7 linked regions of the Oryzias latipes genome follow. The protein of the gene in region 5 purifies or fractionates together with the protein of the main gene of each other region. This does not show direct contact. Links are inferred from orthologs where the notes say so. Each region holds a gene or a part of one and is shown on either strand. Other genes may lie near its edges.

Region 1 (3,500 bases), on a different chromosome or scaffold from region 5:
TGGGTTTATGTGCAGCCTGAGACTTTGATTCGTGAAGCTGCATCACTTGGAAGCTGCTGAGGGAGAGCCGAGCCAATATTCTGCCGCTCGCTCCTCTGAAAGATGTCTGATTTCATAAAGAAGAGGCTCAGGCAGAACTATTGGGCTCAGATTTGTGTAGGAAAACATGAAACAGGCTTTGCTCCACCTCTGAAAAGTGCGCCATCCAATTACAGCTGAGGAGGAGCACAACTAAAGCAAGCAATGGAATAACATGATGACAAAAATGAAAAAGATGTCGGAAAAGCAAAAATAGATGTGATTGTAAATGAAAGCATTTGACTTGTGAACTGCAAAAACTCCATTTCTGAAATCTTATCAGACTCTCCAACTTACCACTGTATTCGAGGTCACATATTTATTGTCTGCAGCCTTTTTAAAATGCCAGGATTTTCTACACTTGCATATCAGAATCAAAATACAGTGTGGTTCGCTGAAATGTTCACAAGTCACTGCTTTCATTGACAATATTATTCAGACAAGACATTACAAGCTAAAGCACACACAAGTCTAGCAACGTAATTTAACTTCTGTCATGCAATGAAGCAAAAACAAACAAAGATTAATAGGAATTTAAAGTACATCTATAATTCAAAGCAAAAATGAAATGAAAAAAAAAGAAAAGAAAAATGCCTTGGATGAAGAAAAAAAAAACTAAGCATTCACAGGAGTTGAAGCAAAATGGCAGCCAGCGCAGTCCCTTACCAGGTTAGTTTTGTTACTAGTTCGAATACGTACAGGTATTCCTAATAACTGGGGGTCCACCGGCTGGCGGAAGGGAAGAGACTCTGGGTCCTGGCGGTACAAAGCCTCCAGGGTTGGCATCAGAGCCTGACGCAGCTCCTCCGGCTTAAAGACTTGAAAAGAAAATGAAAAGAGCAAAAAGAAAGACATTAAAAAAAAGAGTTTAGAAAAAAAGACCAGAGCTCCAATGAAGGACTTGAATTCCTGTTTGAAGCTGGTTCCAAATCTAAAGTAAACTTCTGCAGGTCAGCTGACCAAGTCACCACAAGGTGGTTTATCACAAAGATAAGTCACTTCCAAAAAGGTATTTTCCTTGTATTAATTGTATTAAACAATTTTTATCCTTCCTAATTAAGTGTGCTATATTTAATCGAACTACAAGATTTAAAGTGGGCTAAAACCGGACCGTAGTCTTTTTAATCACAGTTGAACTCCTGGCCCCAATGGTAATGCCTGTCAGGCTCACATATCTGATAAAGACCAGGGTTTGATGAGGTCAATTCCAGCCGAGATGGTCGAGACTAAAGAGCTAAAACACAACATTTAAATCAGCATGAGACAAATCACAACATCCCATCATTATGCTGCCTCTGGAGTCAAGGAGCCCCAAACTTCACAATGGGTGGCAGGTAAACTTTACAATTGTCTCCATCAGTGTTTCTAAACGCCGGTTTCATACTGTTAGGTGTTTTCAACGTTACTTTCCTCTCAAATGTCAGATTCGGCCATCTTTCAGCTAAAACAATGATACTCATTAAATGGTAAATGGCCTTCCTTGAAGGCCCAAAGCGCTTTACAGTCACAAACCCATTTACACACACACACACTTTTACACACTGGTGGCGGCTCCGCTGCCGACCACTGGCGCCAGCCTTCCACCAGAAGCAGGGTGGGGTTCAGTGTCTTATCCAATGAATACTTCGACACATGGTCGGGCAAGGCGGGAATCGAACCTGCAATCTTCCGATCTTCCGACCACCCTACCGCTGCACCACGGCGGCCCTTTAAAGCTTGGTGTGTTTAAACTGGCTAAGAAAGGAGGACCAAGGTTATGTTAATGTCAATGAACATTCCGTGGGGGCATTTTGAAGACAATTATTTAACACTATGGTTACCAGATATAACCTGACCAAATCTGGAGTTTGATCGAAAATAGTTCACTGGATGTCCGGCACACACACTACTGGAGCTGAAGACTGATCAATCTGTGATTGAAAACATCGCCATATATGAGCAGAATTTCAAATCAAAGTTAGCATTATGGTTTATAAAATTCAGACCCAGAATGGGACTGGATCTGCTTGTATGAAAAGCTATTTAGTGGATATCTTGAGAGCCGACTTGACTCCGGTATTACTTACAACTGTCAGGAAAAAACCAGAAGAAATAGATGCATTTCTAGACCCGCCGTCTCTATACGGACAGCAAATATTTATAATCGCCTGAAACTTTAAATAACCAGAAAAAAAGGCAAAAGAATCAAACAATCTCATCAGCTCATCACAGAGTATTTTCTGGGCCCATCAAGGTGGATGAGATCCGTTCGGGTGATGACGATGACAGAGTGACGACTTGATGCTCACTTTTCTTCTTGCTCTGAGCAGTGGCTGGGGAGCTGTTGGTGGTCGTTGACCCCTCCTCTTCCTCTTTAGGCTCTTTCTTCACCACTGGCTTTTTGTCCTCACTTGCTCCTGCAGATGACTCAGAGGAAGAAGAGGTATCCATGGGCTCGCCTTTACACCCATCTCCAGATGGCTTCTCTTTCTTAATCTGAGAGACAGAATTAAGATTTACTTTCTCCTTCGCTGAAATGCAGTGATTCACAGCTAAACTCCAAATCTTTGACAGTCTCACAGAACCTCACCTCTGGCTTTTCCTCTGCCTTCACCTCTGATGAACCCCTTTCAATATGTCCTTTGCCATCGCCCTGCCCTTCTGCTCCTTCATCTTCCTCCTCCTCCTTTTTCACTTCCATTTTGACATTGTCCAGGCTGAGAGCAGGGCCCTCGACAGCGGCGAGCTGGGATGTGGGATCGTTGGCGCTTGCGACCGACGCAGGAGAAGAAACGTGTCCGTCTGCCGTTAGAGAAGGCTTTGGCGAGAGCTGAGGCAAAGGGGGAGGAGGGAGGACAATTAGAACACACCCACTGCTTTCCTACACTTAAAAAAATAAATTCCGGACTTTCTAGACTAACATTTTATAATAAAAATGATCAAGATCCACCCCTTTTTGTCATTTATTTCAGGAACTTTAAGTCATAACTGCTGATGAGGGACAGCAACAAAGAACTTCCTAACCAAACTAAATTAGGAACTAAACGACTGTCATCTCTAGACCAGCATTTGCATTTTTACTGCGGTCCGATATGTTTGCTGGATTAGGCAAATCAGGTGTGCTGCAGAGTACGGTTCCTCCTGGCCACAACCACACCTTTACTGCAGCTCATTCTGTTGTCAGGCTGTTGACTTTCTGTGCTGCAAAAACTCAAAAGATCTCCTGGACAAAGTCGGGAATAGAATGACGATCAAAACAAATCTCATGTTTTGGTCAAATCTTTCAGAAATGGTAGCAAAGACAAAATGACCCCAAATTACCCTGAATCCAATTAAAAAACGAACTGCAAGAGATATTCTCAAATTTAAAACAATCCCACCCACAACTCAGAGGTGAATTTCTAATAAACTACTGCCGCTCTGCAGAAACTATGTCCTAGAAA
Region 2 (4,222 bases), on a different chromosome or scaffold from region 5:
GTCTGATGTATTTGCATGAATATGTAGATTATCTTTGTTTCATTTGAAGGTGGTCCACTTTAATAATGCTGTGGGATGTAATTTCTCTGAAAGCAGGCTCAGAACTCAGATTATGTGGTTAAATCCCAATCAGACCATCAAAGTGAGCTGCTTTTTTGTTCACTGTACTGTAAAGCTCAACCTAACACTGTGGATAACCTGGAATATCTCATGCTGAAAAGCTGATTTTTTGGTCACGTTGAAACCTCTTCTACCTTAAAAAGGGGGAATAGCACCACCCAATGGGCGTTTTCTGGTTACACATCTTTTCCTCTGGGACAGGAGCAAAAAATAAAATCTATTTGAATTGCATACCAACAGATGAAAAATAACAAAAATATCTGAAGTTTGACCCACACACATGTGCACTTATTAAAGGTTTGCTAGTGAAACTATAAAGTGGACAGCAAACAACGTTTTTTAACAACTTGAATCCTTTATTTCCGATTGAATTTATGAGTACAAAACATTTGGAGCTTGCAGTGTGACGCCACAGGAATTATTTACAGAGGTGTTATCTACAACAGAATGGATACCTGCAAACAAACGGGATAAAAAGAGGGAGAGAACAGGCCTAAAACAATTGCTGGAAACTACGACAGATGTGTCTGCCAGCTACTCTGAGCGTCCCTGGACTTCATTTTGAGCCCAGGAACCTCAGAGTGACCACAGTTCACCACAGTAAGATCCCTTCAGTCCTTCAGGAGGAGTCCCAGTCATCCATCACCTGCATTCTCCCCCCTTTTCGGTCTGTGCTTCCAACTTAAGAAGCTTCCTCATCGATCTTCGGGGCCAAGTAGTATTTGATGTGTCCCATATCGGCAATCTTGTACTCCACCACTGTGAACAGATAAATGTGATGAGGTCGAGCTTCAGCAGGTGTGATGACGGACACACAACGTAAGCCACCTTACCAAGGGGGATATCAGCAGACATGCTAAGGGTTACAGTCTTTGACAGCGGAGTGGCCTTGGTGAAGAAGTTCAGATAGTTGAGAGCAAAAATCAGCTGGACGGGTTCATTCATCTCAATGGTGACCTGAAGGAAAGCGGGAAGTTACAAAACGATGTCAAAACAAACCGATTTTCCTCTGCAGGACAGATCCACCCCTCATACTTACGGCCTCTTCTTCTTTGTCCACATTGCTGGTCTGGGACAGCTTGATGTTTCCCGTGCCCAGCTCTCCCGAAGCGGAGAATTTAACACCGTCTTTGGCACAGGAGATCATGACGGCGTCGCCGATCTGCGACAGGTCACGGCAAATACGGGCGAACTCCCCGGAGGGCATCTTCACCACGCAGCTGTACTCTTGTTCCTGACAGGAGCAAAGAAAGTGAAGATCAGGGAATGCTGGGAAATACTGCAGAAGAGGTAATTAAAAAATACCTACTGGAATGCCCAGCTGCTCCACATCCAGGTCCATCAGCTTCATTTCATAATCTGAAACTTTTTCTTGGTCTGCAGGAACACAGAAAAGTGAAAAGGAGCATAAAGACTTTGGAGGATTTTCATCAGATGAACAGTTTCCGTATGACGAACAGTTAGAAACTTACTGATGGTCTCAAACACAAGAGCCAGAGTGTCAGCGGCGTCCTCCGCTCTGAGGGTGATGATGTCCTCATTTCCCGCACACTTCAGGATTTTGGACATACTGAGAAAAGCAGTAAAACATTTGAGCTTTTATTTGAATAGCAAAAATTTAGCTTTTATTAATGTCACCTTTTAATCTATAAGTATAAAGTACTATGTTTGAAGTAAATTTATTTTAAAAACGATAACGTGGTATGTTTAAAAAAAATGATCCAAGTATTTGTATCAACATGCTAATCTAATTCCGGAAACTCTTATGAAAGAGTGACGTAAGCGGAAGTGCAAGTTCCCGGGTTTTGAGGATTCCCGCCAACACTGCCGGCAAGAGTTTTGGCGCTAAAGTACCGCAGCAAGTGCGGCTCTGTGACAGCGCAAAGACATATTTGCACATGTCAACGTTTTAGACGTTTTGTTTTTTTGCTGGTTGAAATCAGCGAGTGGACAGTAAAGAGTTAACCGAGCAGGGAGACATGCCCGGGCTTCTCCAGCAAGATGGCCTCCTTTGTCGGCCTCACAACGATCGACGTTTCACTCGTCCAAGATGATTTTGGCGCCACACACGATTACCATGAACAATTCGTAAATGTCTGAACTTGAAGTCAGCCCCTGATAATCACTTTAAATACATTTAATAGGCAGAACACATGACATGCAGATTATACACGAAGCTTCCCTCTTATTAAACTTTGTTGTTTTTCTCCCCGTCACCTGCTAAGGTTGACTCCCATGGCGAGGTTTCTGTCGCAGCGGTAAGAGTCGAAGCCGTCGTGCCGGAGAGTGAGCTGCACCAGGGATACGTGAGACGAGTCCATGCTCTGCAGAGAGATGCCGGACGAACTGACGTCCCAGCAGGCTTCTGTGATCAAATCCTTCAGGGCTTCCAGGACCTTTTTCAGGATGGAGCCCTGGACCAGGCGAGCCTCAAACATGGTTATTCTGTGGAGGGTTGCGTAGATCGAAAAAGAAGGCAAAGGTTGGTGGAGGTTTTCAGCGCTGCTCCGGTAAAAGGAGGCTGCAGTGAGGAGTAATCACGACGTAGGCGATGACAAAGCGGCTTTGGCAGTTCAGTCTTTGTGTGGCACGCGGGCTACAGACGCGTCTTCTACAACAACCACAAGATTTGAGCTGGAAGCCCGCGCAAACGCCTGTTGTTTAATAACGCTGCGTCGTTGCGTCATTTCCGGACGTGTGACACACTTCCGTCAATAAAACGGAAGCTGGATGCAAATCTGCAAAAACATTTTTGTTTAGAGATTTAAAAAGGAATCTGCTTGTTGAAAAGAATTATTTTCACATTTTGGGCATGTAAAACATATTCCCGTAGTTTTTAATACAAATTGGGAATATTTCTGACTTTTAAAAATATTACAAAAATATTTTAGAATGAAATTAAAAGGTCTAATTGTTTTTGTTTTTAAAAGAAAGTGACCTCATTCTTAACAAAACACTGGTTAAATAAATGTTTTCTCTTGTTTGGTGTGGTAGATTATAATACTCTTAAAATAAAGTGAGAAGAGTTTTCTTAAGTCATCAGATGTCCTGCAAAAATGACACTAGTTACTATATTAATTAAATCTGAGGAAATAAGCTCCTAATGTTGATCAATATATGGAGTTGTTGTACATTTGTAACATTGAATGCCTGAATAATATTAATTTGTCTCATGTTTTACACATATGTTTGTTTTAAGAAAATTGCATCATTTACAAATGTACAAAACAAAAAGATAAACGTTTAAATGATGTTACTAAAGCATAATGCATAATATTCAGACTGTCTCGGGCCAAAGTCCTCTTATCAAAATCCCAAGGCACACCACCATCACTCACACACACACTAAAACTCTTTCGACTGCATTAACAATACGCATTCTCATCAAAGAGTCTTGAATAAGAATCAAATAAACACGAAGACAAATTTTTTGTATGATTTTTCATATTTCATGTTTGGATGAAAGCAGAGCTGATATTCTGGCAATTGTAAATGTTTTTTTTAGACCAATTAGACCAAAAGAGTGAAATTGAATGATTTTCTATGACACAGCTGATTATCCTTTCCAGTTTTCTTTTTATGTTTATATTGATGAGAATATATTGAGAAGAATAGAATTTTGCTGAGTAAGAAAAGTTAAAAAAATTTTTTTAATCAAGTATATCCAAAACATCAGTAAAACTTCATCTTCACATTTATTTTATTTGCTTAATTTTTAATATTATCACTGGAGCAAATATTCTGCCCCTTTTTTTACACCTTCTGCTCCTGAGTCTTAAAGATGCAAACCTTTACAGTGGAAAGTATCAATTTTACTTTCCACTGACTCCAACATCTTACTGAACAATACAGACTTTGTTAACACCGATTATGACTAGTTTAAATGTATGGAGCATCAAGTTTCTTTTTACTACTTTAACCTCATGGATGTTGTCAATGATTGCTTGATGTTTTATGTGGAATTTGCATTTTAATAAATAAGAAAAGCTGACACACAGATTCAAAACTAATTTTATATATAAAATTACACTCAGGAAATGTAATTTCTTCACCAGTATTTTCTTTGGCATTGTCTCAGTGCTGTTTTAATGAAAGTAAAAAC
Region 3 (4,221 bases), on a different chromosome or scaffold from region 5:
AAGTCAGTTGGAAAGAAAAAGAAAAAAAATGTGTGCACGTGCGTGGAGTGTTTTATCTGCGAGGTGCAGCGCAGCTTAGAGTATCAGCAGACACTATATCAACCCAGTCACACAAGAAGGAAATGATCAGGAAGACAGACTCAAAAAGAGAAGAAGCAGAACTCTTCATACATAATGTAATGCCTGAATGGTCAAAATGACAGTTAAGAAAATAACAAAACAGAATCAGTGTGTTGTAATTTAAATGATTTTAGACTCAAGTGTCTCTCTTCTATGACTGTTATAGAAAAATATGTACATTAGGGGGGAAACAATCAATCCACTTATTTGATAAATTGATTTATATTACTACGATCCAACCAAATAAATCTGTCTGAGGCAAGTTGCTGATCCAAGCGACCTATACCATTAAAAAAAAATCCTTTCAAAATGTAATAAATTAGTTATATTGGAAAATACCATTTGGATTGAGGCACGTTAGGTTTATTTACTATAATGTAAAATCGACCATCACAGCAGACAACACACAAGTGATATCAGCAAAAACTGATCAACCGTCATTCCAGTCCAGTTTGTGGAAAAACTTTGAATTTAGCAAAGACATGGTCCCATCCAGTGGGCTAGAATGTTCTAAGAATGTTACATTTTTTAGGGTGTATTGATCCTTTTGAACAATTCGGTTAATATAATAATTTGTGGTTGACAATACGATTTATAGTAGATATTTGTTCATTTTGAACGATCCGATTCACTGACCTAAAATAGATCCAGGACATTTTTAGCCAAAACATCAATCAGTGGGACTCAGAGAGAAATACCTGGTACTGAACAGCACAGCGGAGGTTTTCCAGATTCCTTGCAAAATAACCAAGCGTAAATTAAATAAGTGTACAAACACACAAACAAGAATGAATGGCAAATCTAGACACAATAAATCACTAATTTATCGTTATCATGATATGATATATCATGCAAAAGTCTGCAAAAATTGCAATAAATCGTAACCTTAAGAGTGCTAAAACAATCTCATAGCAGCTTGAAGTATTTAATGAATCAAATAAATTCATTTAAACATTTGACCAATCAGATGGAGCCTTTCACGTGGTTGACCAATGGGATGGAGCTCTTTTATGTTGGCCTCCTATGTAGACGAGGGGCAACTCTTATTTAAATTAAAACTGTTGCAGTGAAATGGAAATTATGGTTTTGATCGTTTTGCTATTTGTTCATGTATCGCAAGTTATATCCTCATCGCAATGTTTATCACTAATATCGCATACCGCGAGTTTTCCTCATTATATCGTGCAGCCCTAGTCAAATCCATTCACATTTTTGGTTTCATCAAGTTGCGACATATGACCACACTGTATGGTCAAAAATTATGTTTCCACACATCGAGCCGTAATGATGGTTGGTCATGCTTTGCTGCCGTCACATGCGTGTTGTCTACTGTGATGCACTCGGTTATTTTTACAGTTATGGTCAAATAAACCTTCAGAACCTCAATCCAAATGGTGTTTTCCTATATCCATATAATTGATTTATTTCATTTTGAAAGGATTTTATAATAATAAAACACGTTGACTCAATTAACAACTTGCTTCAGGTCAATCTGGTTGGATCGCAGCAATATAAATCGATTTACTGATTATTCGTAACAACCCTATCTATGGCAAAAGTGGGCTGAACTTTGACACTAAAATGGGAATTACTTGTTTGTTTGTTAAGCCATTTTATTTACATTTACAAGAAATACAAGTGACACTGTTCAGTACCCATTTATTTATCTCTGAGTCCCACTGATTGATGTTTTGGCTAAAGATGTCCCGGACTATAAATCATGTCGTGAAGCACAAATTATAAAGTGGATCAAATTGTTCAAATAAATCGTAACACCCCTAATGTAAAAATATGAAAAGTGCAAACGTTATATATTTTTTTGTATTTGTAGAAAACTATTTGAGCTTTTACATCAAACAATGTGGGACTTTAGCAGAATCCCAATAGTAAACATTCCTGCATTAAAGCTAGTGATGGAAATGTGGAAATGTGGCCCCTGTACTGTGAAAAACAAAGCTAGCCTAATTTAATCAACATCTGTGCGAGTACTACTTCACGCTTTGAGTCATTTCTGAAAAGCAACATTATAAACGCATGTCGTTCGTGGACAAAGACGCAATCAATCATAAAACAAACTTGCTCAAGTGTGAAGGTGCAGTGGCTTTAACTGAGAGTAGAATGACAAAAGCTGACCCACTTTCTAAACTTTGAATCTGCAGGGGGGCAGAGAGTCGAAAAAAGTTGACCGGTGTTCTTGAAATTCACTTCGTTTCTTCACTCAGAAAGGCAAAAATCTGCACCATAAAATATTAAATGTGATTTTAATTGTAAAAGTGGTGAACTAAAACAACAAACTTAGAAGGCAAAGCTATCTTTCATTCAAATTAGCCTGTCACACAGCTAAGCTAGGCTAGCATGCTAGCTAGATACCATGTAACTTAACGACTGCGGGCTGGCTCAAAGTGACATGTGCTAGCTAACAACAAAGAGCTCACAGCTTTCAGATCCAGGACTCCGTCCTTCGCCTCTTGTAATAAAGTGACGAACTTCGTCGTGAGCAAGCCCAGGCTCTTCTCGTGCCTGCTCGGCGTCTGCGGTTGCAGCGAGTCTCCCACGGTTCCCGGGTCGCCTCTGTTACTGGCCGTCTCCAGCTCCATCATTGCTCCGGATCAGCTCCGTACTTCCCCTCTTCTCTTGCCTGCTTTCCGACTAAATCCAGCCAGCGAGCCCAAGAAAGAAAGCTCCACCGCCGCAGTTCGAAACACACACGCGTGGATGGTGTGGTGCAAATTTACGAGTCAATACTAGCTGCTTTTCTGAAAATAACTGAGCAAAATCGAGCTGAAGCAGCGAGTATGGAAATTCAATGAAGGAGCAGTCGGTGGAGAGCCGTTGGCCACGCGAGGTATGACGGGACGGTGCTTTCGTTTTAGGGACCGTGTGCAAATGTTCATGAAAAAATAAAACCACGTAAAAAATACATTTGCTAGCACGAACATGTATTTCTAGTGATTTATTTTTAATGTAACATTGAAAAAAGTATGAAAAAAGACGGTTAGTAGTTTTTCTATTGCGATTTTAGGGGAAGTATTGGTTGCAAGAATTTTTGGTAGAGGAGAAAGTTTAACTCGAACTCTTAGCAACTTAAACTTGAAGAAAACGCACTTCCACGCGCGCACACGCAGGCACCGTTCTTCAAATGAATATTTGAAAATTATTTTCCCCTCTAAAGCTTTTCTTCCAAACCACATTGTCATTGACTGAAACATTTTCAAGGTTGCAAAGCAGTGCGAATTAGTGTACTGTGTAAACATTGGTTTGTAAATTAAATATTTTGAATTTAACTATTTGAGTTCAGTATTGCATCCTAACGACTTTATTTTTTTTAACCACAAAAATGTTACCACATAATTTAAGTTTAAAAGTTATTATAGGGGTGTAACGATTAATCGACTTAATCAGTGAAACAATTTTATATTTCTACATATTTTCTAGGGCAGTTGTTAATCTATTATCTATTCAAACTATTATAAAATCTTTTCAAAATTAAATAAATCGAAAATGTCAAGATTGGAAAATAGCATTTGGAGACATGGTAGGTTTATTTTACCGTAACATAAAAGCGACCAAGTGCATCACAGCAGACAACACATATGTGGTGGCAGCCAAAAAATAAAAAAGAATGTTACAGTCCAATGTGTGGAAACACTTTGAATTGTGTAAAGACATGTGGTCATGTGTTACAACTTTATGAAACCAAAATTTGAATGGATTTTCTTTTAATTTTTGTTTACTTGTTTATGTGTACACATCAACTCTACACTTGCCAGAAGTATCAGAGTACCAGAGTCACACTGGTTTAAAAGTTTTGGCTAAAAATGTCCTGGCTGGATTTTAGGTCAGTGATTGAACTGGATCGTTCAAAATGAACCAATATTGGCTATTAATTGTATCAGGAACAGCAAATCATGATATAAATTGATTTGTTGTTAAAATGAACCGCTACACCCTGAACTACATATCTTTAAGTTTATAAGTTACTTGATGCAGTAAAATTTTTTAATTTAACTACAAGATGTTAGAAATGTGCATGTCTTTCACAACCTCACCTTGCAGAGTTTGGCTGTTCTCCCCAGGTTTAAGCGTCCATCACAGCTGTTC
Region 4 (2,281 bases), on a different chromosome or scaffold from region 5:
CTCACAACAGGTTAGGAGAGTCTTCTGCTTTTGATTAGTGACAATTCATGTAATTAATCTCTTCTTAATCATAATTTATCAGCACTCTGCACGTAATAATGATTTCTGTAATACATTAATGTATTTTTATGAAATCAATAAGTACTTAATCTTTGCTAGTTGATATTAATACTTATTTGATAAATGATCTGCACTTGTACTGGTGAAGTATGAATAACTGAGACCTGGATGAAGGTAACTATGTAAAGAAAAATAATTAAGTAAAGCAGAATAGATGGAGATAATATGAATTCACTTCCTCTTACTCCTTTTCAATCAAATAATTTAACAGTTTTTGGCAAATTTATTATTTACTGTCTCATGTTTGTATAAAGGCTAATATCTCTATGTTTAAGTCATTTTACATGTAATATATATATATAAATATATAAGTACATCATCTCTATAGTATTTCCCATGAATGAATGCAGTAACGTCATTCCTTCTCAAAGACATTTCCACCCGCTTAATCTCCCTCCGTTTATTTAAAACATTTGAATATAAAAATGAAATTACACATTTCTGAATTGCTCTATTTACAAAAATGATACATTCTTGAGCATCGACACACAGTTCACATGGTTACTCGATGGCTGCAAAAATCGCACAGTCACAGGATTTGATGGCGTTCGTTCGCTCGTCCGTTCGGCTCGCTTCAGAACAAACTAAGCAGTTGTCTCCCAAAAAAGGCACAAAATCAGAGTTGGTTGACGCACACACAGAAGGACAGAACTGTCATTCACAAAGGTGGTAAAGGGCAGAATCATAAATAGCTTTTGCCTTTGGCAACAATCAGATTGAGTTCCATTTCTGAAAAATTCTACATATGAACATTTTATTTTTATATGCTATGGATTCTCAATAAATACGAGCACTTAAAATGAAACTTTGTACAATTGTCAAGTTTCCCCAGGAATGTAACAAGAAGGTGCAACCAAGTTGCAAGTTACCAAAAAAAAATAAAAACATGAGTGAAAGACAATTTAAGCACAGGCACGTCACATGCATTTCAAAAGAAAACACACAGGAACCATTCCTTTACCTCGTGTGGCTACAAAAACCCTCTGTGGTTCATTTAACTTCAGCCGGTCGGTGCGCTGAGGCAACAATTGAGAGTTATTCCACGAGGCAGTTATCGATGGTCACGTCGGCTTGGACTCAGAGCACCTGAAAACTCCACAGTGGAATGGGAGTCCGCGGCATAAACCACAGGAATTTGTCATTTCCTGAGGAATGATTGAAGCACCGAAGAATCAATGTTGGCAGATGACCAGTGAAGTTCTGAGACAATATGATCAACCAGCAGAAATTCATATTTATACTTAAAAGCCACATTTACCGCCTTCACCTCTTCCTCCAGAAACAAGTAAAACTGATGGTGGTAAAAACCTAAATCAACACTCAATTAAAATAAGAACATTTTGAATAAAATTGGCCAATCTGACTGTAAACTGCAATTTCTGCAAAAGATTCATAGTCTGGCAACCTTCTTTGGTCCCAGAAACCTGAACTTAGTGTTCATGAGGAAAAAACAAAACAAAAAACAAAAAGGAAGCAAAAAAATGAAAACAAAAAAGCGCCATCCACAGCGATGCATCCCAGGAAGTCAGCGATGGCGCCCCGTTGGACAGCAGAGAGGTAGCTGGACTTTATGGTTACTCGCTCCTCAGACACTGGTGGGTTTCTCTGTACTGCTGGGAGGAGTCAAGGTGGCTGCCGTAGCAACAGGCGACATCTGAAAGTCGTGGCTGTCGATCTGACGCTCCTGAGCTTTTCTCTGCGCAGAAAATGTTTTAGGTGAGAAACAAGAGTAAAAACACACAACAATCAGCTTCAATGCTACGTTCCCACCGCCCTCGTCTACGTCTTTGCGCGTTTTGGACCGCCATGTTCAAAACGCTCTCGCATCACTATGAATGATTTAAGTCCGTTTTTGGACATCCGTTAAATTTTAAACTGAGCTGACCTTTGACCAATCAGACTTGGAGTTTGTGGTGATAAATGGATGACGTCCCTTTTCACTTACGGGAGTTTCAACTGTTTGAAACTTGACATAAAGTCTTTTATTTTTCAGAATAAAAGAGCTGGAACGAGATTCATGAGTTGTGAATCGTTTTGACACCAGACCTCTCCTAACTGTGGGTGGTAGACATGCGGTAGTATTCGATAGAAACAGAAGAGGTCCACCTTATGATGAAAGCACCTTCAAGAATGTGGGTTTCACACGTTTTTCAAAGCCTGT
Region 5 (4,200 bases):
TTCACACGTTTTTTGCACTGTTTTAATATCATCTTTACCTTACTTTTGTATTTATTTTTTCATTTATTTTGTACGCCTTTGGATCGTTGTAATAAAACATAAAAACTGTTTGTTCTCAAATTTTTTTAGTTACCGGTAATACAAATTAGTAAATTTAAAACCTGAAATTGAGTTTTTGTAAAGTTTCATTGTGAAATTATTGGGATATAATTAAAAATATTCTGCTAAAAAAAAAGAGAGACAGAGAGAAGCCGCGGTTGTACTAAAAAACAAATGTCAAGCATTACCACAAAAACTATTTTAAAGATAAATTATTAGAGAAAAATGGAAAGTAGGAAAAAAAGCTGAAAGGGCACCATCCTAGAAAGGCAAACAAAAAATTTGAAAAGGTTTTTTCAAGTCAATATTTCTGAGCTGCGTTTAAAATATTGTTTTTTTTTTTTCAGTAGACAGAAAAAGTTATAATTTGCATAAGAGAATTTGTCATCCTTTCTAAACTCTACACATAAAAACAATTACTCTTAATTAACGCGTTTGCAGATATTTAACAGGAAAAGAGTAAAACATGTAGCAATCAGAAGAAAATCTCACTCCGAGCAACTCTCTTCCATCTTCGTCTAGAAGCGGAACCACTTTGGATAAATCCTGACGAGCCCATTTGGGGAAGGAGGGCTTGTAGTCGGGCATGGATGTGACTCCGGGCCACGCCGTTTCGTCAGGTGTGCCCAGCGTGCGAAAGATCCTGAATAACTGATCGATCTCAGAGTCTCCGGGAAACAAAGCCCTCCTGGTGATCTGTGAACACAGACCATCAGTTTATTATCAGCGTGCTCCTAATTCTTTATTGAAGTTGGTCTTGGGGTCGAGCGCGTTACCATTTCAGCGAAGATGCACCCCAAACTCCAGACATCGACAGCTGTGGAGTAGTATTTGCAGCCGAGGAGGATTTCTGGGGCTCTGTACCAAAGTGTTACCACCTGAAAGATACCACAAAGAATCAAGAACGACTCTAATGTTTTATTATGTGAACCTGATACAAGACAAGAAAAGGTCTGAATCAGATTTTGAAAGAGCAAAGCTAAGAAAATACATATTTTGGGATTTTATCCTTTAAAATAAACATTTTCTCACTATCCAGCACTAAAAATCCCTGAACCACATTAGAAAAACAAAATCAGCTGTTATCAGATCGATTCGTACCTTGTTACAGATGAAGAAAGGGAGGAGCACACTGTACCTCATGAGTGTAGGTGCGGACCGGCACTCCAAAAGCTCTCGCCAGACCGAAGTCTGCCAGTTTGATCTCACCCTGGGCGTTGATGAGGAGGTTTTGGGGCTTCAGGTCCCGATGAAGAACTCTGTGAGAGTGGCAGAAAGCCAGGCCTTGCAGCAACTGGAAGAGATAACTCTAGAAACACAAGACAGTAAGAACAAGGAATCAGGTCTGGACAGTTTCAGGATCTTCTCTTTAAAGAGGACGCTCACCTTCACCAAAGCCAGCGGGATGCCAGTCACAGAGGAAGAGTCCATGAATTTTTTGAGGTCCTGATGGAGGAACTCAAAAACCAGATAGAGTTTGTTTTCTGTGTGAATCACATCCTGCAACCTGGACAAAAAAAAAAAGTTGGTTTAAAACATAAAATCACACAAAATGGGATTCTTTTGAACAAAATAAACATATTTCTGCATGGTTAAACACTTACTTGACAATATTTGGATGACTGAGTTCTTTAAGAAGTGAAATTTCTCGAATCGCTGTGCTTGGTACGCCCTCTGTTTCTCTGGATTAAAGAAATCACAAATTTAAGGATCAGCGGAGATTGTTTTATGAAGTTAAATGCTTCCTTTGTCCCATTGATAAATTGAATACAATTTTCCTAGTTATTGCACAATAATTCATTTTGATTAAGAATCATTTTAAATTAAAGCAATTTGTTGTGTTTATGATGCTTTTCCAAAACTTTATGGACAAATGCACATGAATTTGTAATCATCACTTTTGATCAATTTATTGACTAATTGTGTTTAGTGTTCCATTACCCCCAAAGGCAAATAGAGATGAATAAAACAGATGGTGAATAGATTTTAAATGTAACTGAGTAGGTTTAATTTGACAGTGAAACCAACCAAACAAGAGCTGAATGCTTTTATTTTGTAACATGTCAGTTTTGTTTCAACTTTGTATTATTATTTACTTTTATTTTTTAGGTCTTTGTACATAGAGTGAATTTAAAATGTTTTGTCTTTTCTGTAATTAATGAAACTGTTTCATGAGGGGACTGGAATTAAGCATTTGAGATAATCTGAATCACAACAAACGCTTCTCAGAGGTTTCAACCAGCAGGAAGAAGAACTTTTCACTTACGTATCCAGTCGGATTTTCTTCAGCGCAACCGTTTCTCCGGTCAGTTTGTTTTTAGCTTTGTAAACCACTCCATACGTCCCTTCTCCGATCTTTTCCACTTTCTGAAACGTATCCATTTCCCACCAGAATCGGACCGGACCTCTTTCTTTGTTTCGGAGCTAACGTCTTCTCGGAGGCTACAAGCATTAAGCAGCGCGGGGACCGACCTACAATTACCCGCTTCTCCGGGTTTCGTCATGCGGTCCAGGCTACAACCAAACCAAGGGGTCCCGTTCGAGGACAAACTCTCTCCGGTCAGAGAGCGGCACACAAAAACGGACAGGTGAACATCTGTCAGGTAGTAACACTAACCCCTAAATTGAGGATTAGCCCGGTGGTTGCTCCGCGGTGGAAAACAACACAACGGCGTTTCCCGCGTTGTGTTGCGGGCGTTCGTTTTTGTGCTCGAGACACACCGTACCGTTCAGAGCAGAAGCAATTTATTATTTTCCCTTTTCTTGAATTTAGCAGTAATTAAAGTCAGTCCTGATATATGGCACTGGTGAAGGTAGACCGCTATGTTTATTGTATTTAATCCAATGATTTTATTGCGAACTGGTGTAATTGGAGAAATGAGTTCCTCGTCTTCCGGCGTATAACGGAATAATAAACAAGCCGCACTCTTTGGTCACATGGTCTACGGCGTAAAGGAACCAGAAAGCTACGTAAAAGCGGTTAAATATGAAGGGAAAAAAGTTTAACGCCCACAAATAATGTGTATTTTTGGAACATTTTTTTTTATCAATGTATACATTTTCATAAATGCATTTATATTCCAATTTAACCATCAGTTAAAAAACAAAAATCAAAGACGGAGATTATTTTTTTTTAATTTTAATAACTTTATTGACAAACATTGCACATACAGAATTTCACACCAAGTGCAAATTATTGAAGTTGCCATGAGGTTGAATAACAAAAAAATAATAATAATAATAATAATAAAATGAAATAAATAATAATAAAATAAACAAAATAAAAAAAATAAACACATAATTCAATAAATGAATCAACAAAAGTAATAATACATAAAAGTTTTTTAAAAAAAGCATAAACAGTCAAAATAAAAATAAAAAGACTTCAAAGTTTCAATTGAGACAAAACCTTTTTAAGTGTTTTATTAGTTTCTTTGTTAGTGCAGCATTTCCTTGTCAAACACATTCACACTGTTTTTTGTTAGTGAGATAAAACTGAAATCCCAAAAGATTATAACCACTCCTGACAACTTTTTGGCAAAAAAGTAGTACACTTGTACACCTAAAGTTTACTTCTTAAGTATACCTAAGTATAATTACAGCAAATGTACGCCTACTATACTCCATGTACATGCAGTACAGGAAGTATACTAACAGAATACTTCTCAGAATAAATTATTACATTTTATGTCTTCAATATATAGTGTATAAAAAGTAAACTTAAAGTATAGACTCCAATGGACTATCTTTGCCACAGGATAAGAAAAGTATGTTAGAAAATATTATTAATTTTCTACTTTTGTAAACCAAATTTTACACTAACAAAAAGAAAAAAAAGTTTTTCCTTTGTTCAACTTTTCTATTTGTATTCATTGTAATATATATATATATAAATATATATATATATATATGTATTTGAAGAGATCGAAATTGAAATATCATTGTCAAGTAATCACTTTTATGTTGGTATAAATTATTGAATTACATAAGTAGCCCTCTGCAGTAACGTGGTTCTAATTCAGATGAAACACTGGAATTTATGTATTTTTTATTTTTCATTTATTTTTCAGAACTGTGTATACACAACACGCATACACTGCT
Region 6 (4,117 bases), on a different chromosome or scaffold from region 5:
TGCTGCTTTACGAACAAAGATAAAGAATGCTCTTTATGATATTGTGATGTTGAATTACAAAGAGATTGGTAAATTTTCCCTGTAAATACAGATTCATATTGCCCTTGTTGGACATGTTGGACAGCCCCACCTCTTCCTCTGTCATGCCGGGCGGGGAGCCGGGGGAGGCTACAGACTCTCGAACAGAAGGATTGTTTTTCATCCAGGCACGGCAGATCGGATACAACGGGGTGCTGGTGTTAAACTGAGCCAAATCGACGCTGCGATCAAACAGCTTAATGATGTAGGCATCTAGGAGCAAAGCAGATCAAATAGAAACGCTTCTTAACAATTGAAAAACTGCTGTAAATGAAAAGCTTGCACACAATAAAAAGCAAAAGTCAGAGTCAAATTTACTTTGTTTATGCTGATTAGTCTCTGGTATTCCCTCTTCCATCTCTTTCCTTTTCTTTCTACGGTGTTGTGGAAATCGAGTTGATTGTCTGAAAAAAATAAAAATAAAATACCACATCAAAACAATAAATACAATTCATGTTAACTGTTTCAAATAGTCGCTTTTCTGTAAAAAAAATGTTTAGGAACAGTACAGGACATAAAAAAGTATAAAAGACATTATTAACCCACGTTCTGAATACAGAGACTTACCTTTTTCCAGCAGATGATGGAGACAAATCCCTAAAAAGGGCAGAAAGGATGTTATCTCAAAACAAGAAATTCATTTGATCATTATTTAAAATACTCAAAAAGCATCAAAGTAACAGCTGAATTCACTGCAGCTTTATACAGTATATTGTAATGTACTGTACTGTACAAAGCTGCAGTATACTGTATAATATACTGTATACTACAGCTTTATGCAGTATATTAGAATATATATCTCTATTTTAAACTGTGTGCAATATTCATGCTGTATGTGCAATATCCATTCTAATGTGGAATACCCACTCGTGCAATATTCACCCCACTCTACTGTACAGTATTTAAGTATTTATGCCTTATATAGCTCCTTATTCTTATTTTATTTTATTCTACCTTTTTATATCGAGAGTTGCTGGAAAAAATTTCATTGTGCTCTGCAGAATGATAATAAAAGATTCTGATTCTGATATCAATTCCTCCTCACTTATAATTAAACAGAACAAAAGAAAAATTTACTGAGCTTACTTGTTTAAAGAATCCACAGATATTTTCCCAGGATCATTTTCGTTTGGATCCCTGTTTAAAGCATAACGACAATTTTAGACAGTGATGAGCGATCATTATGATGATAATAATAATAATAAACTTTATTTGTATAGCCCCTTTCAAGATAAAAATCACAAAGTGCTTCACAGTAAAACAGAATATAAAAAGAATTATGAAAAAGCATCACAATCTCACTAACTTCTCATGTTCACTCTTCTCTACAAGTCCTTTCAGCACAGCATCCAGTCTGCTGCGTGCACCGCTTTCCTCCAGCTCTGTAATAGAAACAGTTACAAAAATTATAACAGAAAACATGGATAACCATAAAATTATTACCATTAAAAGATATGTGCAATTAATTTAGCTATGAAGTTCCCAAAATCTTAAATATTTTGGATGGTAAATAAAAAAGAAATCGGACTTTTTTGAAGATACAAAGTACTATATGGAATCTAGTGGTTCCTTAACAATATTTACACACAATTTATTAAGCTATACCGTACCATAATTTTACATTTACAAGGAACGATTGGATCAAAACTGGATTATGACAACGATGCAAAAATTTGTAATGAAATAACTCACTAGGGGTGGGATCATACAAATGTCTTCCTACTCCTTTTCAATTAAAAATTAAAACTTGACTTTAGTTGGTAATCATATGGAATGAATCTGATGTGACCTAAATGTGTATTCTCTGCATCATTGCAGAAAAATCGATTCTGGATTATGAGTAATTACTATAACTTTCTTCTTACATTTTTTTTAATCAGTGCATTTCATTATTTCTGTTTGATAAAACTGTGTGATTTCCTTTTCTGTATTGTCTACAATCAATGCTTGAACTAAACCAATGGATCAACCAATTCCTAAATAGACGTTTTTAAGGGGTTAGGAGAAATTATTACACAAATCACAATTAAATAATTAACTGCGCTTAATTTTTTTTAAACGTTTCATTTATTATAAACCAAATGTTATATTATTTTTATACATATAATAATAATGTGCTTAACTAGTTTGTTATTACCCCTACACATTACAATGTAAATTATTTGACTTCTTTTTTTTTTACTGCCAGAGCCTTTCGGTGTCTCTGTGAAGCTCTTTTAACTAAAGGTGTCTAATTAAATAAAACAACAGTTCGTGAAAATAGCCCTGCTCTCTCTTACCTGGCCTTTCCGACTTGATCTTGACGTGGTGCATGGTGTCAAACAATATTTCCCAGGGGGTAAAAACAGATCTGCGTAGTAGATCAGTAACTACAGGTAGTCACAGTTTAATTTGTTTTAAAACAATTAAATATGCACCGAAACTAGCTGCGCTCCTGCTTTCAGTTAAGTTAGCTAACCTTTGCGTTAGCCTCACCCCAAACTCTTAAAATTACGCCACAATTTTTTTATCTACATGTATTTAATTATTAAATTGACACGAAGAGAAACATTTTACCCTACCAACTACATCTATGTAACAACAATATTACACTGTTCACGCTCTGTTCGATGTGGTCAAGTAGTGTTGTGGGTAAGCTAGTGGCCAAACAACCGTTGCTAACTGCGTTTTTTTTTACCCAGAAGTATCCCTGTCAAGGTTTTCTCTTCCGCGCGCTGTAGACTCTATGATCTGATTGGATGCTTTGTGAGCAGAATCTTACTATTATTGGACAACTGTTCTGTCCATTATTCAAAACTCAGCCCCTGATTGGTCAATTTCCACAAGCTGTGTTCTTTGCCGTAAACAACTCAAACGCTACAGCTTTTCTGGTTTCATCCATCTTGTTAGGTGTACTTTAATCAAAAAGCCAACTAGGTAGGTTTTTCTTTTCTTCACAAAATCTTAACTTTTGGTCTTGTAAATCTGTGTCATTGTTGTTGTACGTGTTTGTTATGGGTCAATGTGTTGCTTGATGTTGTGGTGTGGATGTGCAAATCCACAGGTCAGGATTTTTTTATCATCCACCAAATGAGCAGAAAAGTACAGTTTAAATTAGACTAGAGAGGAGGGGTCAGAAAATTAGAAGTAAAAATAATAAACATACAACTTATTTTATGCGTTTTACTATTGCTTAATCATTTTTATTAAAAAAATTGTGTTGATGCTGTTCTCACAGGGCAGAAATTTCATCTGCCACCATCCATGGAAAGAAGGGCACACAAGCAATCATCCAGCAAGCAACTTCTGTCAAAGACAAAGAACAAAAGTGTTAGTATTAAAGATAACTTCATTAACATCTTTGTTGTCAAGTCGATTCTAACTATTACTTCATACTTCTTGTACTTCTTACAGACGCGCAGTCCTGGTTGCACAAGCAGGAGATCCGGTGTAAAATTACAATCATGTGCTCAGAAAAATCAGAAACTGTTTAAGAAACATGATCGCCATGTTTCTTCTACTGGTGGACAATCTGTGGCTGCTGAGTCTTGGCAGTCCCCTGAACACGCATCTCGTCTTGGTAGCATCACTCCTGATATGGAGGAAAGAGATCAGCCTCTGAGGTCTGAGGCTTCCAAAGATTCCTCAGGAGTTCAGGAAGATTCTGTGCTGGCTAAGTGCGTGCCGTGCTGTCTGGTTTCATCACAATCTCATTTCATATTTAGTCTTTTAACGTTGCTCGACAAATCATTAACCTTTGCTTTTTGAAGATACATAGAACGTTTTCGACATGGTCTACCTCAGAGTCGGAAACAGCGCCAGCCAGTGACTCCTGTCTCTGGAGAAGAGCAGGAACCTTTGTGGTGGATGTTCCACTCATCATCTCCCTGTGGAAAACAAACTAAAACATTACATAAAGGTACATTTTATCTCTTACCTTTGTACCCGATAATCAAACAGTTATTTTCATAATAGTGTATGTTTATTATCATCTGCATGATCTTACTATCCCTGGACAGACGACCACGATTCTGCTGTCACACATGATGGATCCGTCACT
Region 7 (4,126 bases), on a different chromosome or scaffold from region 5:
TTGTGTGAGGTCAGGTTTGACTGACTGGGGCTTGCTGACCAAAAGATGACTTCCTAAATAGCTCACTGGTACTTCCCACCGCTGTTTGACGGCATGGTGGTTTGCAACTATTAGGGCTAATTCAATCTTAACCAGTTAAATATCTATAAATGTGATTGGTGTTTTAATAAACTGCAACAACCCAGAAACCAATAGACATGTAACAAAGAGCTAGTACCTGTAGCGCAGAGAGCCACAAAGGTCTGGGCGTGTTTCCTGAGGATCTGCTTTGTCGATGCGTGGATTGTCAGCTTGGACAGGAAGTGCTCGATGAAGTCATGAGGTGTGACAGAAGCCAGATCCCATTTCAGCTTGCTGAGAACCAGCAGCTCCATTTGCTGTGGAAGGACCAGAGAAGACGCAATGCTTCATTTTGTGGTTGACAAACATTTGTTTTTCTTTATGTAATTTTCCATCAAATGCCATCAATGATAGTTTCTAAATTGACAGGGCTGACCCAGCAGTCAATATTGAATCCTTCTTATGCATAAATAGGCTGTAATGTTCTACCTAAACAAAGTGAATGACAGAACAAGACATTTTCTTTTTTTCTAGCATACATCTTTCTACTGTCTGCACATCTGTCTGACGGCCACTAGGTGTCACTGCAAATTAGCAGACGCCACCAAAGACCATTGATGAAATCAGAGGCCTTCCAGTCTCCATGGGAAAGTGCAGGCAGTCATTCAAACGCTGCAGCAGACTTCCATGCACATTTCAACCACAACGTACATCAGTAGCATGACTGCATGCTTGACATGTTGCAGCCTCGGCGCACCAGCAACCCAGACCGAGCCCTGCCTCCAGCCAACGCGGCCTTCAGGCATTCTGGTCATGTTCTCCCATTGTTACGCAACATCATGTCTGCAAGAACTTAATTACCAGCAGTTCTCCAGGTTGGACCGAGTTGTCTGTGTAGATACAGAGTTTCTCTGCAGTCAATGGTACCGTCTCCTTCATCTTAGATGCCAGAAACATGCATGTAGCTCCAAGCAGCTGGAGTCTGCTTTTCCTGGTGGGCTCCACTGATAAAAATCTGTCCAAATAGTTCATTGCCAACGGAAAAACCTCCTCCTCGCATTTCTGTTCCTCACAGACCTAAAAGAAAAAGAAAATAAAGTGTTTTAGAGGCCGACACTGGCATGGAGACATTTCTTTCTGTTCAAATGGAACAATGATTTCACTTTCTGTAAGCAGTCTGTCTTCCATCCTGCACACTATGATCCTCTCCAACTAATTTAGAAAAACTAAAGCATCTTTCATTTTTCGGCTTTTAAAATACGTGGAAAAAAATTGTTAAAACCTACAGACCAACTCTCAAGAAAAGGCTGGAAAAGCAGGTGAAAGCTGCAGCGGGAATGAGTTTACAGTCAGTTCTGACGGAGACACAAAGGTGGCGTCGACGCAACTTTCACTCCAATTTCAACTTCGTCATCTTTTCAAAAAACACTTTAAAATATTAACAAAAATCGCAGGCTGCTTATTTTAGCAGATACATGAAGCTGAAGGCGCGCCTGATCGGATGATAATGTCATTTGTCTTGTTTGGAGAACAAATTGGTTTTTATTTTTATTTTTTAGGCGAAGATTCTTCACGTGCTGCAGCCGCTGCTCGCACAGCCCGATGCCACATTTCAAAAATTAATTAAAAATATTTAACCTAAAGACTTTTGAACTGAAAGTTGATGTAAATGTTTGAAATGCTTCTGAGTATCAGATCCGACGGATCCGGTCCGTCTGCGCTTTGGATTTTCGAAGGAATCTGCGTTTTTTGGCGTGAAGTTCGTGGCCGTGGCTGCGCCTCCGGAGGCCGAACAAACTCCAGCTTTCGATCCCGCTTCAAACTTTATTCTCTTCTCGTGTCAAAGTCCGCGCTTTACCGGCCCGTTCCCCGTTATTTCTGTTAAAATGACATCATTCAAATCAGATCCCGAAGCTCCGCAAACACCGCAACAAAGATGGCGCGTAATCAGAAACTGGCACGCACCGGGCTGCATACGTGTACACCGGGAACGTTTCGCTGAAAACGTCCCGTTGGACCGAAACATCAGCTGAAATGGAAAAGAGCTGACGGGGAATGAAGTCGGCGGATGATCAGAGGCGCGCGGCCGAAGCCGAAGGGAGGCCAACCCTCACGCGAGCAGCAAGCCGCGTGAAGAAACTAAGCGGCGTGAGCGAGGCGCTCCAAACTTTGGCGTGACCTGCGGTTCCGGTCAGAACAGCTGGCAGCTTAGACGCACAGAGCTGATACCTCTAACATCCAGGTGGCCAGAATCTTCCTCATGTTGGGAGCGATGTCCTTCTGAACACACTTGAAGTAGTTGGGCGCCGGCAGGTAGTTTTCCTCCGCCTTCAGCATGGTCCGCAGGACGCGCTCGTTCAGCAGGTTGACGTCCTGGTGGGCTCTCCGGATGGAGTCCACCTCGCAGCACAGCAGCTGCTCCTCCATGGTAGCAGGACGAGAGCGGAGTCCGCCGGCGGTCCGGGCCGTGTTCCCGCGGGCAGGAGGCTGCACACACCAACTTTCAGCGCCCTTTCTTCTCGCGTGGCTTCTGCTGCCGCGTGCTGCTGCCCCTTCGGTCGCGCGAGCCCTCTGAGGGCCAGACCTCTCTGCTCTCGAAGACAAAACCCCCGATCCGTGCGCGCGTTGCGTGCGCGACCACGAACACGCGCGCACACAAAGTTGATCTGCAGAGCGCACAGTGGAGAGGTGGTGAGAAACGGTGGATGCGCGCGGTGACGTCAGCGGTTGTTAGGGCGGGGGGTATCAAAGACACATGCAGTCTGCTGGGGAGCGCGCGGAAGGGATTGTTTTATGTCCATATGTATGTGCGGGGGGAGGGCTCTGGTGGAGAGGTGGGAGGTCCGGCCCACCGGCGAACGCTTCCATCCTTTGGTCGGTAGGGGGCGGTGGCGATCCTACACCCCCCCGAACCCCCACCCCACCATATGTCTTCCTGGGATTGAATGAAACCGACAACATGAGGTTTCCACGAAAGGACAGGGACACGCCGTTTGCTCCATTCAGGAGATCCCACCAACCGTTGTGGCTGAAAGCAAACAGGGTTGGAATCCAAGCAGTCAGAGAGGAACCAGGTTCAGGGCGCGTGCACACTGCATCCCCACTTCAGACACATGAAACAGATTCAGGTCATTTCAACCAGATCAGCATCTTCTTTTAACTTCTGGAAGTTGCGAATCTCAGCTCGGTTGAAAACGTGACAGGAGCTGACTTTACCTCAAAAGATTCCTGTGAGACGTTCAGACAGACAGGAGGAGACTAGAGTCGCACCAATGGGAGGAATTGCTGTTACTAGGCAGATGTTGGTGTAACTTTCATGTAGGGAAAAGTTCATTGCTCTGAAAAAGTTGACCCTGATAACCCTCACAAAGTCCTTTCACACAAACTTCCAAGTCAACATTGCAGTTTTGTGTTTGTGGACAACTTCCTGATGCTGAGTTCACTATGGTAAAAAAAAAAAGAAGCTCTTTTTTCTCTTCAGTCTTATAAGTTGTAAATCAGGTAGAACAAGCCTCTTTCTGTCCTTTATTATACATTTAGGCACTTTAACGAAAATGTAAAAAGTACAAACAGAGCACTTTTTAATCCAGTTTCAATATGAATCAGAGCTTTTTGCATTCCTGAAATTCCACTTTGGGCCGTTTGGTTGACTACCGTAAAGCCTGAAGAGGGGGTCCATGTGCTGGAAGAGCTTAAAGTCACATCAACACATTCCCAGTCTCCTGCTTTTTAAGGACTAAACATCTGAAGTGAAAGTTGCTGTGTGACAAAAAACAATCCTCATTTACCTGTGCAGGAATAAAGAGCAGATCCCAGGATATACTGAGAAATCCTCTCAACGTTTATGTCTGTTCCTTTATTTTTAAATATTCTAAACGTTGTCTACTTTTTGAGTGTCCGGCTTTTGATGTTGTAGTTCATGCATTGTTGGTCTGAAACCGGAATCTTACCTCTGCAAAAGTTCTGATGGAATAAGGTGATGAACGTGAGCAACAGAATTTTCTGATTCAAAACATTTATTTTTAATAATTTAATGGAAAGGCTTTTTTGTGTGACCCCATTTCAC

Evidence for each region.
Region 1: the proteins of cdk2 (region 5) and histone acetyltransferase p300 purify together in Homo sapiens (affinity purification with mass spectrometry; 3 studies listed by BioGRID and IntAct, counting the BioPlex papers as one, with this or other methods). This does not show direct contact. The link is inferred for Oryzias latipes from reciprocal best matches to the Homo sapiens genes CDK2 and EP300.
Region 2: the proteins of cdk2 (region 5) and pcna purify together in Homo sapiens (affinity purification with mass spectrometry; 8 studies listed by BioGRID and IntAct, counting the BioPlex papers as one, with this or other methods). This does not show direct contact. The link is inferred for Oryzias latipes from reciprocal best matches to the Homo sapiens genes CDK2 and PCNA.
Region 3: the proteins of cdk2 (region 5) and e2f4 purify together in Homo sapiens (affinity purification with mass spectrometry; 4 studies listed by BioGRID and IntAct, with this or other methods). This does not show direct contact. The link is inferred for Oryzias latipes from reciprocal best matches to the Homo sapiens genes CDK2 and E2F4.
Region 4: the proteins of cdk2 (region 5) and ccne2 purify together in Homo sapiens (affinity purification with mass spectrometry; 10 studies listed by BioGRID and IntAct, counting the BioPlex papers as one, with this or other methods). This does not show direct contact. The link is inferred for Oryzias latipes from reciprocal best matches to the Homo sapiens genes CDK2 and CCNE2.
Region 6: the proteins of cdk2 (region 5) and lin37 purify together in Homo sapiens (affinity purification with mass spectrometry; 3 studies listed by BioGRID and IntAct, with this or other methods). This does not show direct contact. The link is inferred for Oryzias latipes from reciprocal best matches to the Homo sapiens genes CDK2 and LIN37.
Region 7: the proteins of cdk2 (region 5) and ccnd1 purify together in Homo sapiens (affinity purification with western blotting; 12 studies listed by BioGRID and IntAct, counting the BioPlex papers as one, with this or other methods). This does not show direct contact. The link is inferred for Oryzias latipes from reciprocal best matches to the Homo sapiens genes CDK2 and CCND1.

Annotation. Positions count from the first base shown.
Region 1 is NC_019866.2:19,365,422-19,368,921, forward strand, and holds part of histone acetyltransferase p300, read right to left. Parts: intron 2,888-3,500; coding exon 2,648-2,887; intron 2,554-2,647; coding exon 2,367-2,553; intron 897-2,366; coding exon 745-896; intron 1-744. UniProt on the Homo sapiens protein: Functions as a histone acetyltransferase and regulates transcription via chromatin remodeling. Acetylates all four core histones in nucleosomes. Histone acetylation gives an epigenetic tag for transcriptional activation.
Region 2 is NC_019867.2:6,551,446-6,555,667, forward strand, and holds pcna (proliferating cell nuclear antigen), read right to left. Parts: upstream 2,801-4,222; 5' UTR 2,559-2,800; coding exon 2,338-2,558; intron 2,121-2,337; exon of another isoform or gene 1,691-2,120; coding exon 1,593-1,690; exon of another isoform or gene 1,504-1,592; intron 1,498-1,503; coding exon 1,430-1,497; intron 1,411-1,429; exon of another isoform or gene 1,355-1,410; coding exon 1,160-1,354; intron 1,078-1,159; coding exon 954-1,077; intron 880-953; coding exon 803-879; 3' UTR 456-802; downstream 1-455. UniProt on the Homo sapiens protein: Auxiliary protein of DNA polymerase delta and epsilon, is involved in the control of eukaryotic DNA replication by increasing the polymerase's processibility during elongation of the leading strand.
Region 3 is NC_019864.2:28,153,448-28,157,668, forward strand, and holds the start of e2f4 (transcription factor E2F4), read right to left. Parts: upstream 2,801-4,221; 5' UTR 2,721-2,800; coding exon 2,556-2,720; intron 1-2,555. UniProt on the Homo sapiens protein: Transcription activator that binds DNA cooperatively with DP proteins through the E2 recognition site, 5'-TTTC[CG]CGC-3' found in the promoter region of a number of genes whose products are involved in cell cycle regulation or in DNA replication.
Region 4 is NC_019874.2:25,659,709-25,661,989, forward strand, and holds the end of ccne2 (G1/S-specific cyclin-E2), read right to left. Parts: intron 1,817-2,281; coding exon 1,706-1,816; 3' UTR 501-1,705; downstream 1-500. UniProt on the Homo sapiens protein: Essential for the control of the cell cycle at the late G1 and early S phase.
Region 5 is NC_019863.2:27,093,792-27,097,991, forward strand, and holds the start of cdk2 (cyclin-dependent kinase 2), read right to left. Parts: upstream 2,801-4,200; 5' UTR 2,482-2,800; coding exon 2,366-2,481; intron 1,782-2,365; coding exon 1,704-1,781; intron 1,607-1,703; coding exon 1,486-1,606; intron 1,409-1,485; coding exon 1,238-1,408; intron 978-1,237; coding exon 876-977; intron 796-875; coding exon 592-795; intron 1-591. UniProt on the Homo sapiens protein: Serine/threonine-protein kinase involved in the control of the cell cycle; essential for meiosis, but dispensable for mitosis. Phosphorylates CABLES1, CTNNB1, CDK2AP2, ERCC6, NBN, USP37, p53/TP53, NPM1, CDK7, RB1, BRCA2, MYC, NPAT, EZH2.
Region 6 is NC_019874.2:15,177,520-15,181,636, forward strand, and holds the start of lin37 (protein lin-37 homolog), read right to left. Parts: upstream 2,801-4,117; 5' UTR 2,756-2,800; intron 2,429-2,755; 5' UTR 2,392-2,428; coding exon 2,358-2,391; intron 1,461-2,357; coding exon 1,385-1,460; intron 1,216-1,384; coding exon 1,165-1,215; intron 676-1,164; coding exon 646-675; intron 483-645; coding exon 397-482; intron 292-396; coding exon 131-291; intron 1-130. Other genes in the region: proser3 (proline and serine-rich protein 3), read left to right, coding at 3,322-3,387, 3,472-3,734, 3,828-3,976, 4,077-4,117.
Region 7 is NC_019861.2:4,929,971-4,934,096, forward strand, and holds the start of ccnd1 (G1/S-specific cyclin-D1), read right to left. Parts: upstream 2,801-4,126; 5' UTR 2,488-2,800; coding exon 2,290-2,487; intron 1,138-2,289; coding exon 922-1,137; intron 378-921; coding exon 218-377; intron 1-217. UniProt on the Homo sapiens protein: Regulatory component of the cyclin D1-CDK4 (DC) complex that phosphorylates and inhibits members of the retinoblastoma (RB) protein family including RB1 and regulates the cell-cycle during G(1)/S transition.